3 linked regions of the Kluyveromyces lactis genome follow. The protein of the gene in region 3 purifies or fractionates together with the protein of the main gene of each other region. This does not show direct contact. Links are inferred from orthologs where the notes say so. Each region holds a gene or a part of one and is shown on either strand. Other genes may lie near its edges. The genes, in order: PRP39, SNU71 and SNP1.

Region 1 (3,673 bases), on a different chromosome or scaffold from region 3:
TAACTCCTTCTAACTCTGGGCACATATGGATAGGGTTCATCATCTTCATCTTCATCGTCATCTTCGTCATCTTCGTCCTCAAGTAACACATCTTGACGGTTGAACCTCATTAACGATGGCATAGATGACTTATAACTGAGAGTTCGACCAGAACTGGGTCTAAGGTTCATATAAGACCTGCTGTTCGGTACTCGACGCGATTGCTGTGAATTCAAGCTTGTAATATTACCTTTACTACGGGTTGCCAAATCGACCATCGATCTACGCTGTCGTACCGAATCCTTCAACGATGGCCGCACTAGTCCCGCATGGTTTATATATTGATCCACATTTCTAGTACCACTACCACCACCGGTCTTAGAATTTCTCAGGTTCAATGATAGCTTCTTCTCCAGTTGTTCTTGCAAATCAGCTAGCTCGTCCTGATCCGAACTTTCCCTAAATCGTCTATCCACAGCAAGAGGTAGGTCTGTACCATTTTGGTACTCTTCAAAATCACTGTTATAGTTCATATCATCATCAAGATCGCTCGCCAGTTCCGTGTGTGATGAATACCTCTTATCCTTAGAGAATGTGGTATTTTCCGTAGTTGTGGATGTAGCTGAATTAGGTGCCAATCTCGGTACCTCTATATCATCTTTATAAGTAAATGTGCTTTCAACATCTTCAAATGATGTTTCTCCGACATCATCCAGTACAACTGGACGTATAGACATCGATAATCGAAGATTGTCCCTGGTCTTTTCCCTTGTTTATTCCTTTGTTTACATCTCGAACATACCTTTAATGCTTCCGTCATTGATGTATCTATTAACCTTAAACAAAATAATCATATTCGTGAGACGTGATACTATATTAATTGCTGTTTAAACCGCTGTTGAGACGCCAATTCTGCATTTCGAGCACTCCTATAAAACACTGAGATTCCCAGAATTCGACTAAGTTAATAATTACCTTTTAAACACTCATTTAGGCGCGTTTATCTCTGTTTGTTTTTCTTTCATGCTTCCAAAATGATTCAAAATTGCAAAGAACCGTATTATTGTAATTCTTTAAGATAAATCTCTGTTAAAGATGCATGATGCCACCAAACAGAACAAGAGCCTTTAGCTGCTATCCGTGAGCCGTTTTGAGTGTGAAGTCGGCAGCAGGGGTTTGCATATCAAATTTAAGAAGGAAACTAGGGATTTTATGAAATGTTTGAAGGATTAGACCAAACTTTTCTGAAGAATAACGATGAATGGGTGCAGAGTTATAATTCTGTTGACTGGAACGATATAACTACTATCGACAAACTGGTGGTTGGTACAGAAGCATTGGTACAGAAATACAATAATCCCAATGAACATGTGAAGAGCAATATATATAAAGTTTTTGATGAGTTATTGGGAAGGTATCCGTTATTTTTTGGTTACTGGAAACGATACGTTGCGGTGAAATATCAGCTAGATGGATTAGAAGGGTCTATTTCTACTTTAAAGGCATCTTTACATTCGTTCCCTACGTCGATAGATCTTTGGATTGATATGTTGAACGTTTATCTAACACATAATCAGAATGATAGTGAACTGATACGAAACCAGTTCAGGAAATGCGAATCCCTCGTGGGATCTCATTTCCTCTCGCACGATATTTGGGATAAGCACATTGCATATGAAACAAGACTACAGAACTGGGAAAACGTATTTGAGGTGTACAAACAAGTCATGCAGCAACCTTTGCATCAATATGCAAGATACTACACCAGCTTTAAGGAATTCTTGGAATATCACCCAGAGTTTGCTAATAGGGAATCAAGCATCCATTTGGATACCACATTTATTTCTAACCAGGAGAAGGTGAACAAAATATGGACATATGAATCACAAATAAAACAGCCATTTTTCAATATCCCTGAGCTTCCCGAGAATGAGATTCAGAATTGGGATGCTTATCTATCTTTCTTAATCAACAACACTGAGTTCAGTACAGAATTAATAAAATCGACGTTTGAGAGATGTTTGATTCCATGTTTAAGATACGAATATTTCTGGGGAGCCTATATTGACTGGACTGAAAGGACTTTTGGTCCCGAATGTACGTTCCCCTTGTTTGAAAGAGCACTCCGGGCTCTTCCTGCTGATAATAAATCTTTCAAGCAAAAATACATCAAATATTTGGAAAGTAATATGGATCCATATAATAAATTATCTTCCAAACACTATATGGACGCTCTATACACGTTCCAGCTTAAATGGCCACATGATCCAAGTTCAACTATTAAATATTTAAGGTTTCACAAGAGAAGATATTTTGCAGCATCTTTGAATGATGAAGACAAAAAGATCTTGGAACAACAGAGTAAATATGCTACATTTTTGGATAAAACTATCAAGGCGTACCTATCAGGGAATGCAGATACGGAAAATCACGACATTTCCCAGCAGTTGCTTGCCATGCTAAATGACACTACTCTTCCGATACTGGTAGTTGAACTAATAAAAGTGCATTGGCTGGTATTGAAGAACGTCATTCAATGCAGGAAACACTTTACATACTTCGCCAAATTGGATCCGATCAAGACTTCAGTCTTATTTTGGTTGACTTACTACAAGTTTGAAAAGACTCAAAAAAATATCGCCAGATTAACAAAGTTTGTCGATCAATTAGGCACTGAGATCGTATTACCAACAAAAGTTATCAATGATATCGTACGAGATTTCCAAGGGTTTTATCTAATCAATGCAGATTATTCCGAGTACGAAACCAATTTATCGCAATCCCGTTTTGGGTTTGACCCAATAGTTCACAATAGGTTCAAAATCAACAACCCAACATGGAGGCCGAACGCCAAGCTAACCAAGGACTGGTATAAATCAGAAAAGTATAGATCGAACGGTCATCCTGGATTGTTCATTGATAAGCCTCAAATTAAAAATACTATAATAGAGACGCTTGCATCGAAGCAGCTCAATCCAGCACCTTTGCCTACTTTTAGAAATTTAGAAAAGATCCATCAGAAACCTAAATTTGATGATTACATGTCTATAGATTATTTAAAGTAGTAGCTGAAAGGGCATTCTCACACTCAAGCATTTTCATGATCCTAGAATTTTTTTAATCATTTATATACTGTCACTTTGCCTTCCGATAATGCTTACACCATTCCGAGGAGAGCATTTGCCTGTGACTTGATTATCACCATAAACTTCAATAATAGTGAGCTTTTCATTGTCCTTGGATATCTTTTCCACAATTTCATTATCCACACAGTGGACAAACCCTATATTTAGCTGCTTGAGGTTAGGACATGCCATGAAGGTGAAAGTTTTGGATGTTAGGGATTTCAGACCATTTAGATTCAACTCTTCTAAGGTGGAAGAGGAGTTAAGTAATAATTCAACTACGGCTGCATCCTCCAAAGCAAAACATCTTTTCAAGCTACATCTTTTCAACAAAGGGAACTGCAACGAAGAGAATAATAGAACTATGCCGTCGGTGGTTATCTGATCCAATTCTTCTAATTCCAAGTCTGTAAGGATTGATTGCCCTGAGTTAGACAAAAATGGTAAAAATCCATTAATTATACAGCTATCAGTCAAGCCAGTGCATCTATTGAGCGACAACTTCCTAAGGTTCTGGCCTATGGATCCTAACAAACTTATAATAACCTCGTCATTAATATCTGTTTCTC
Region 2 (3,836 bases), about 900 kb from region 3:
TCAGACTCACGTGATGTCTTTAACTCGAAGATAATATACACACAAATTGTAACAGTTTTTAGTTAGTTGAAATCCTTTTTATAATAGAAGTTCTTAATCAACAATAGTATTTGTCGTCTAGCGAAAGTTGCGCATGCTGTTATCCTTTGATCTAGCTCCGTAACGATGACTGCTGCAGACAGATGGAAGGATTATGCCTGTGTAACATCCCTTTTCGTGGCTGTTGCATCGTTATACTATGCATATAAGGTTAAGACAACTACATTAACTGCTCTATCACCACCAAAGGATGGAGTGGAAGACTTGATAGGAAATACACCAATGGTAAGAATTAAATCTCTTTCCGATTATACTGGTTTGAACGTTTTTGCCAAAATGGAGTTAAATAATCCAGGTGGTAGCGCAAAGGACAGAGTTGCCTTGAATATTATCAAAACCATCTCATCGCAGGAAGGTATTAAGGGTTCAAGTGATAAGAAAAATAGAATCTTTGAAGGAACAAGCGGATCTACAGGTATATCCCTTGCAATATGTTGTAACGCGTTGGGTTACTCATGCCATATCTCGCTACCGGACGATACAAGCCAAGAGAAACTTTCTCTTTTAACTGCACTTGGTGCAATAGTGAACAAGGTAAAACCTGCTAGTATAGTGGATCCGAACCAATACGTAAATGCAGCTAAGTCGTGTTCAGAAGAGTACACTGAGGGTGTTGGTGTATTTGCAGATCAATTCGAGAACGAGGCCAATTGGAAATGCCATTACGAAACGACAGGACCTGAAATTTATCTACAATTAAATGGGGAAGTGGATGCATTCATCACGGGATGCGGTACTGGTGGTACCATGGCCGGTGTTTCTCGTTATCTAAAGGAGAAAAGAGGTGACAAAGTACATATTGTGTTGGCTGATCCGCAAGGCTCGGGTTTCTACAATAGAATCAAATACGGTGTCATGTACGATAACGTAGAGAAAGAAGGAACAAGAAGAAGACATCAAGTGGACACATTAGTGGAAGGAATTGGTCTTAACAGAATTACAAACAACTTTCTGAAAGCGGAAAATTATATAGATGATTCCATCAGAATTACAGACGAGGAAGCTATTAAGATGGCCAAATTCTTATGTGTAAATGACGGATTATTCGTTGGTGCCAGTACTGCAATCAATGCAGTCGCAGTGCTGAAATATGCGGAAAACTTACCGAAGGGTTCAAATGTTTGCATCATTGCATGTGACAGTGGCTCTAGACATTTAAGCAAGTTCTGGAAAGAGGCCCTGCAGGTGAGTAACGATCTTTCAATTTCAGATATCATATAAATAACGTACAGTGTGTTTAACTTTGGTCTTTTGTAAATATCAATTAATTGGAAAAATCTTGAAATATATATATCGAGAGAGTAGACGTAAAGTTTCAGCGATGAGTTAGCAAATAAACGCTGATACTACTAGGCCGAACGTGTTTAACTCACTAATGGATACTGTATTGTTTGTGTCGCCCACATTATACTGCTGTGGAGACACGAAGAACTGGCAATCACAGGTGCCGAAGCCAGGATATGTGCCGATTTTGAAGAGTGATATCCCCAAATTTGAACAGTCGTTGAAACAAGCCAACAGCCATAGAGACCATGATAAAGGGAATTCAGTAGCCTCGAAGACTAATGAAACGGACAATTCTGATGAATTCAAGACTTCAACTTCACGCTATGTTGATTTGAAGTCCTTTTTACCAATTTCGTTAGAACAACAGTTGCATACCGTTTGTTTAGCACATTTTCCACTGGGACTTGGATCCAAGGGTATTGATAAAGTTATGGACAGACTAGACAATCTAATACGGAAAAAGCTGCAAGTTGAAGATAATGAGACCAAATTTATCAAACAATGGAGTTACGTCGATTGTGTGAATACGTTGACGGTATATATAAGTTTCCAGGAAAGTATAGTGGAAGAATATGGGAAAGCGATACAGTTACTTGAGAAATTGTTTGACAACGGGTCAGATGGGATCGGACTTCACATGGATGAAAACACTAGACGGTTCGTTTGCGATCTGACGGAAGGTTCTCCTGCTAAGGAACTCGATGAAACTGCAAAAGATGAGTTCTCCGCATTAATTACAATGTTGAGATCTGAACCAGGCTCTATATCTCAGGAGAAAGGGTTGGCTGGAAATAGTGCCGTTGAGTATAACGTGGATATAAGTACGTTGAGTGACCTTCCGAGTTCCTCATTAGACCAATTGTGTAAGGATATTGTTGAGTTTAGAACTCGTGTCATTACGTTAGAGAAAGAGAAACGGAATAAAGAGCTAGCGGAGGAAGAAAAACGGAGGAAACAAAACTTGAAGCATATATTTGACCGTATCAAGGTTACTAATGGAGGCTCGGAAAAAGGTTCAGCCCCTGAAGCTGAAAGTGACTCTGAAGATTCAGACGACGAGGTTGAGGGTTACGATGATGAAGATGCGGACGATTACGAAGCGGAAAAAAAAAGAGTTCAAGCGGAAAGAGATGCGCAAGAAGCCCAGTATGAATCCATGGTTCATAGTTTCCAAGATTCGTTACTGGTCCAATACTCATCGCTACGACAAGAATACCAAAGGTTACAAAACTACGAAACGCATTTACAAAAGAACAAAGGTCCTATGTTAAAAGAGTTATTACATCTTGCCATGGATCCTTACCACGACCATCACAGGCCATACAAGGAATCTGAATCCAAGGCAGATGAAGAGGACCGTAAACGGGAATCTGAAGAAGTACCAAAGAAAAAAGCAACAGAAACAGAGCCAGAGACAGAACTAGAGCTAGAGCTAGAGCCAGAGACAGAGACAGAGACAAAATTGGTATCGGACGCAGATGCGACAACGGCTGCACCAAAGATTAAATTAGCACTAAAGAAATCCATTGGAAAGACAAAGAATGAGATAGAAGAGGAAGAGACTCCTGAAACCGATGCGTTCCAACAGAAGTTGAATCTACTAAGGGAAAGCGGCGTAGTGGAAGAACTCGTCAAAGAATACTTGGGAGTTTACGAGCCCGACTTAGTCTCATATATCTTTGAAAACATCGAAGAACATCAATCGAAACAGGCACTCGAGACTGAGCTTACAGAGACGTTCGACGAAGATAGCCCTGTCCTAGTGAGCCGTATATGGGAAGCGATGGAACAGTAGTGGAATATACCATACATGTGAATATACATATATATGTATATGTAGGTATGTGTGTCACATGTCTAATAATGAGATTCTATTACCCGGTTACGTCTCACGTGACTGTCACGAAATTTTTTCGCCCGATTCGAGTGTTCCAGCCAGATCGGGCGGTAACATGAGGTTACTAGAGGTCCGGGTAATCGTGTTTCATATTGATTCGCGTTTTGTATATCGTATATAGCGATACATTCTCAACTTCACCAATTTTTTACCAGATCCAGAACGGTTACAGGAAGAATTGGCAGGATGAGATAAACAAAGGAACAAACATAGAGATTCTATTACTTGTAACTTATGTACACACCTGATAATGGTGGAATTTAGTTTCTGTTTTCGTTCGGGTTGCTTTAGGCAAAAGATAATAAGTTTTTAGATTCGAGATTTATCGTCAGGGTCAAACTTTTCAACAAAGAACGTTACCAGTGGTAATATTTTGGTGTATACATCTTTCTTTTCTTTGTGTTCCTCCATTCATTCATTTATTGATTCATCTCAAATTACTTATAAGTTTTTTATACATTTGATAAGAAGGATCTATTAGAGGTTTTTAATAAAGAAAGATTATCAGAACTGACCTACTGATCCAAATTACCTTCCAATCCTCAGTCTTTAG
Region 3 (2,918 bases):
TCTTCTTCTTTATCTAATCAAAATCCTTTAAAGAAGATAAAACAGTTGGCTTGGCTCACTATCACTGAAAAGGCAGGTATCAACACTTTCCTGCAAACCCTTTAATTTGTCCTGCAGATGGATAGAGCTGGTCTTAACTTCGATTAGACAATAATGCTGTTCAGTACTTTACGAGTTAACTCATACTTTAGATACCTAATGGAAATACTTAGCGAATGGGAAACTGAAAACGGTTTTCTTTATATGTGCGATTCGCTGAGTTGCCATTTTTTTTTTTTTTTTTGTTTGACTGGAATAATTTTTTCCATCGTTATTTTGGAATCAGTCATCGATCAAGAAATTACTCATGCATACAGAGGTAGTGGTTCAGTTATGCTTGGCCAGTGGGCACAATGTAGGAGAACTGCGTAGATATGAGAACAGAGGTAGAAATGGTAGGAAGTACATATAACATTTAGCCATGGCTCATCTGTATGGCTACTTATATGAATATATATGAAAATGTATATAGATCACTGCAGCAGTTCTGATCACGTGCTATTTGATGTGTCTTTTTATCTCATCTCAATACATCAATGTGTCTGTAGAACCATTGGAAGTATCATTGCGAGATCTGTCCCTCCTTGATCGGTAGCTAGAACTTGCAGTTTTTTGGAAATTTGATGCAGGTGAGGATATTGGACTAGTTGGTTGATAAGAATGGGAATGCCCTTGTGGAGGACCTCTTCTTTCGAAGGTATCGTGTCTTCTGATGGGTCTTCTAGCATGTTCATGCATCGGTCTTGTTGAAGCACCAGTTAATTTATTTACGAGATCTTTCCTTTGGTAACCTCGTCCTCCTAATCCTCCACCTAGACGTCGAGGTTTGAAGAATTTCACCGTTCTGCCTCTTTCTATATCAACGATGGATGTTCGGCCCATGATTTCTATTCCCTTCCTTACACCAAGCTCTCTGAAACACTGTTTGGAGTCTTCATAACTGGTAAACTGCACAAAACCGTATCCTCGGCTCTTACCGTCTTGGTCTCTTACTATTCTGCACGATTCAATGTCGCCGTATTTGACGAAACTCTTCTGTAGTTCAACTTCGTCTACGGCATAGTGTAACCGTCCGACAAATAATGTGCGGTAGGGGTCACTAGAAATGTTTGCATCTGATTCAGGGTGCCACTCTTGTATTTTCTTCATCAACTCCTCCTGTTCTTTGTGCGATTCGTTCATGGCTTCATCATATACTTTCAAGTGTTGGTTCTCTGATACGGGATGGGTTGCCTTCTTATACTCTGAAACATGTTGCAACACGGCTGATACACCAGTGAGTGCATATTTCTTGTTCTGGTTTCGCCTTACTCTCACTCTCGATGGTGGTAATGGTGGACCTTGTGTAAATAACTTTGATACTGAAGACGGAAGTTTGGTCAAAGTGTGAAAGCCATTATGCCTGTTGTATTTCCTCGTTTGTGGTTTCATCTATTAATTGGAATGGATATGTGCCAATATTATCTTTATTGATGCGCTTACCGCAGTATCGAGGTTAAGGTGTATGCGCTGAGGTAAAGTGTATGTAATTATATTCCATATTTTTGGCGCATCTTTACTATTTAGATGTTAAATGTTACAATTTTCACATAATTGATGGAAAAACCTTAAAAAGAGTGTGTCAAAATATGTATTTTAATGTGAATGCCTTTGACAGAAAGAAGAACCCAGAAAGACAGTAGATTACAAGGTCTGATTTGGAAAAATGAAATTGAAACAGTTGTTTATCTAACAACCTGGAACGGTTTATATTGAAAAATAAATGAATGTACATGAATATATATATTTATTTATATGCTAACTTCGTAAAAGAAATATTATTGGAATCATACTGAGTACTGATTATACGGCAGCAGTCTGTTTCTTACCGTGAATTAATTGATTTAGTAGATCGGAAGAATTGCTTTGTGGCTGGCTCATAACTTGCTGCGCCATGCCTTGCTGCGCCATGCCTTGTTGGGCTTGTAGTTGCATTTGCAGTGAAAGCTGTTGTTGCTGTTGCTGTAATTGCTGTTGCTGTAGCTGCTGCTTCTGCTGTTGTACTAATTGTGGTTGCTGGACAGCAATTCCCGGTGGTAACATGGTAGGTGTAGCCTTGTTTTGAATGAATGGCAGAAGAGAGGACATGTGGTCCACAGGTTTTATAGTAAGCAAATCACATAGTTTGGCACCCAAGACACCTTCAGATTGCTCACTACATCCAATCTTCTCAAATGAAAAAAGTGATGGGTAACTTTGATATGTTTCGTCATCCAATAAGTTGGAGTTGAATGTGTAGCTTCTTTCAGGAATATCTGATAAAAACTTAAAAGTTTGATCTAGGAACTTAACACATGTTGCCATTGGATCGTAAGGATCCTCGTATGTCTTTTCGCCCTTCTTCTTCGAACTTACGTTAGAAGAAGAGTTTGCTGTTGGGGCAGATCCAGTGGTCGTAGGAGTGCCTGGACCTGGACTGTTCAGAGTTTCCCCCAAGGAGCTTGACAACGTAGGGAAAGTGGTAGAAGTAGAAGTCTTGTTGAAAATAGTAGAAACTGGTGTGGGTGCTTGAGATATACCCCATGGGTTTGAACCAGATGGAACTGGAGCTGGTGTTAGCACAGGAGCGGTTTGCTTCGAGCTTGAAGTTGCAGCTGCTGGCACAGTAGAGTCATCTGTTCTCAATGAAGCATGAGCAAGCTTTGGCGTAGAGCTTGCACTTGTAGACGGTTTAGCAAGTGTAGGTGGTGCATGTGAGTGATGGGCATGTTCCTTCCTGGCATTGTTGAAAGCATCCGCTTCTTCCCCTGGTTCATGTAAAAACATACAGTTCGGATTTGGACATGGTTGTCCCCTCAAATACGAGGAGCAGTACTTTGTTGTACCATATGCTGCTTTCA

The links.
Region 1: the proteins of SNP1 (region 3) and PRP39 purify together in Saccharomyces cerevisiae (affinity purification with mass spectrometry; 6 studies listed by BioGRID, with this or other methods). This does not show direct contact. The link is inferred for Kluyveromyces lactis from reciprocal best matches to the Saccharomyces cerevisiae genes SNP1 and PRP39.
Region 2: the proteins of SNP1 (region 3) and SNU71 purify together in Saccharomyces cerevisiae (affinity purification with mass spectrometry; 8 studies listed by BioGRID, with this or other methods). This does not show direct contact. The link is inferred for Kluyveromyces lactis from reciprocal best matches to the Saccharomyces cerevisiae genes SNP1 and SNU71.

Annotation. Positions count from the first base shown.
Region 1 is NC_006037.1:712,390-716,062, reverse strand, and holds PRP39 (Prp39p), read left to right. Parts: upstream 1-1,196; coding exon 1,197-3,044; downstream 3,045-3,673. Other genes in the region: BFA1 (Bfa1p), read right to left, coding at 1-716; UV-damaged DNA-binding protein RAD7, read right to left, coding at 3,105-3,673. UniProt on the Saccharomyces cerevisiae protein: Function prior to stable branch point recognition by the U1 snRNP particle to facilitate or stabilize the U1 snRNP/5'-splice site interaction. Has a direct role in the assembly or function of a catalytically active spliceosome.
Region 2 is NC_006039.1:1,599,313-1,603,148, reverse strand, and holds SNU71 (Snu71p), read left to right. Parts: upstream 1-1,474; coding exon 1,475-3,181; downstream 3,182-3,836. Other genes in the region: MCY1 (putative cysteine synthase), read left to right, coding at 166-1,320. UniProt on the Saccharomyces cerevisiae protein: Component of the U1 snRNP particle, which recognizes and binds the 5'-splice site of pre-mRNA. Together with other non-snRNP factors, U1 snRNP forms the spliceosomal commitment complex, that targets pre-mRNA to the splicing pathway.
Region 3 is NC_006039.1:703,635-706,552, forward strand, and holds SNP1 (U1 snRNP complex subunit SNP1), read right to left. Parts: upstream 1,471-2,918; coding exon 565-1,470; downstream 1-564. Other genes in the region: CCR4-NOT core ubiquitin-protein ligase subunit MOT2, read right to left, coding at 1,882-2,918. UniProt on the Saccharomyces cerevisiae protein: Involved in nuclear mRNA splicing.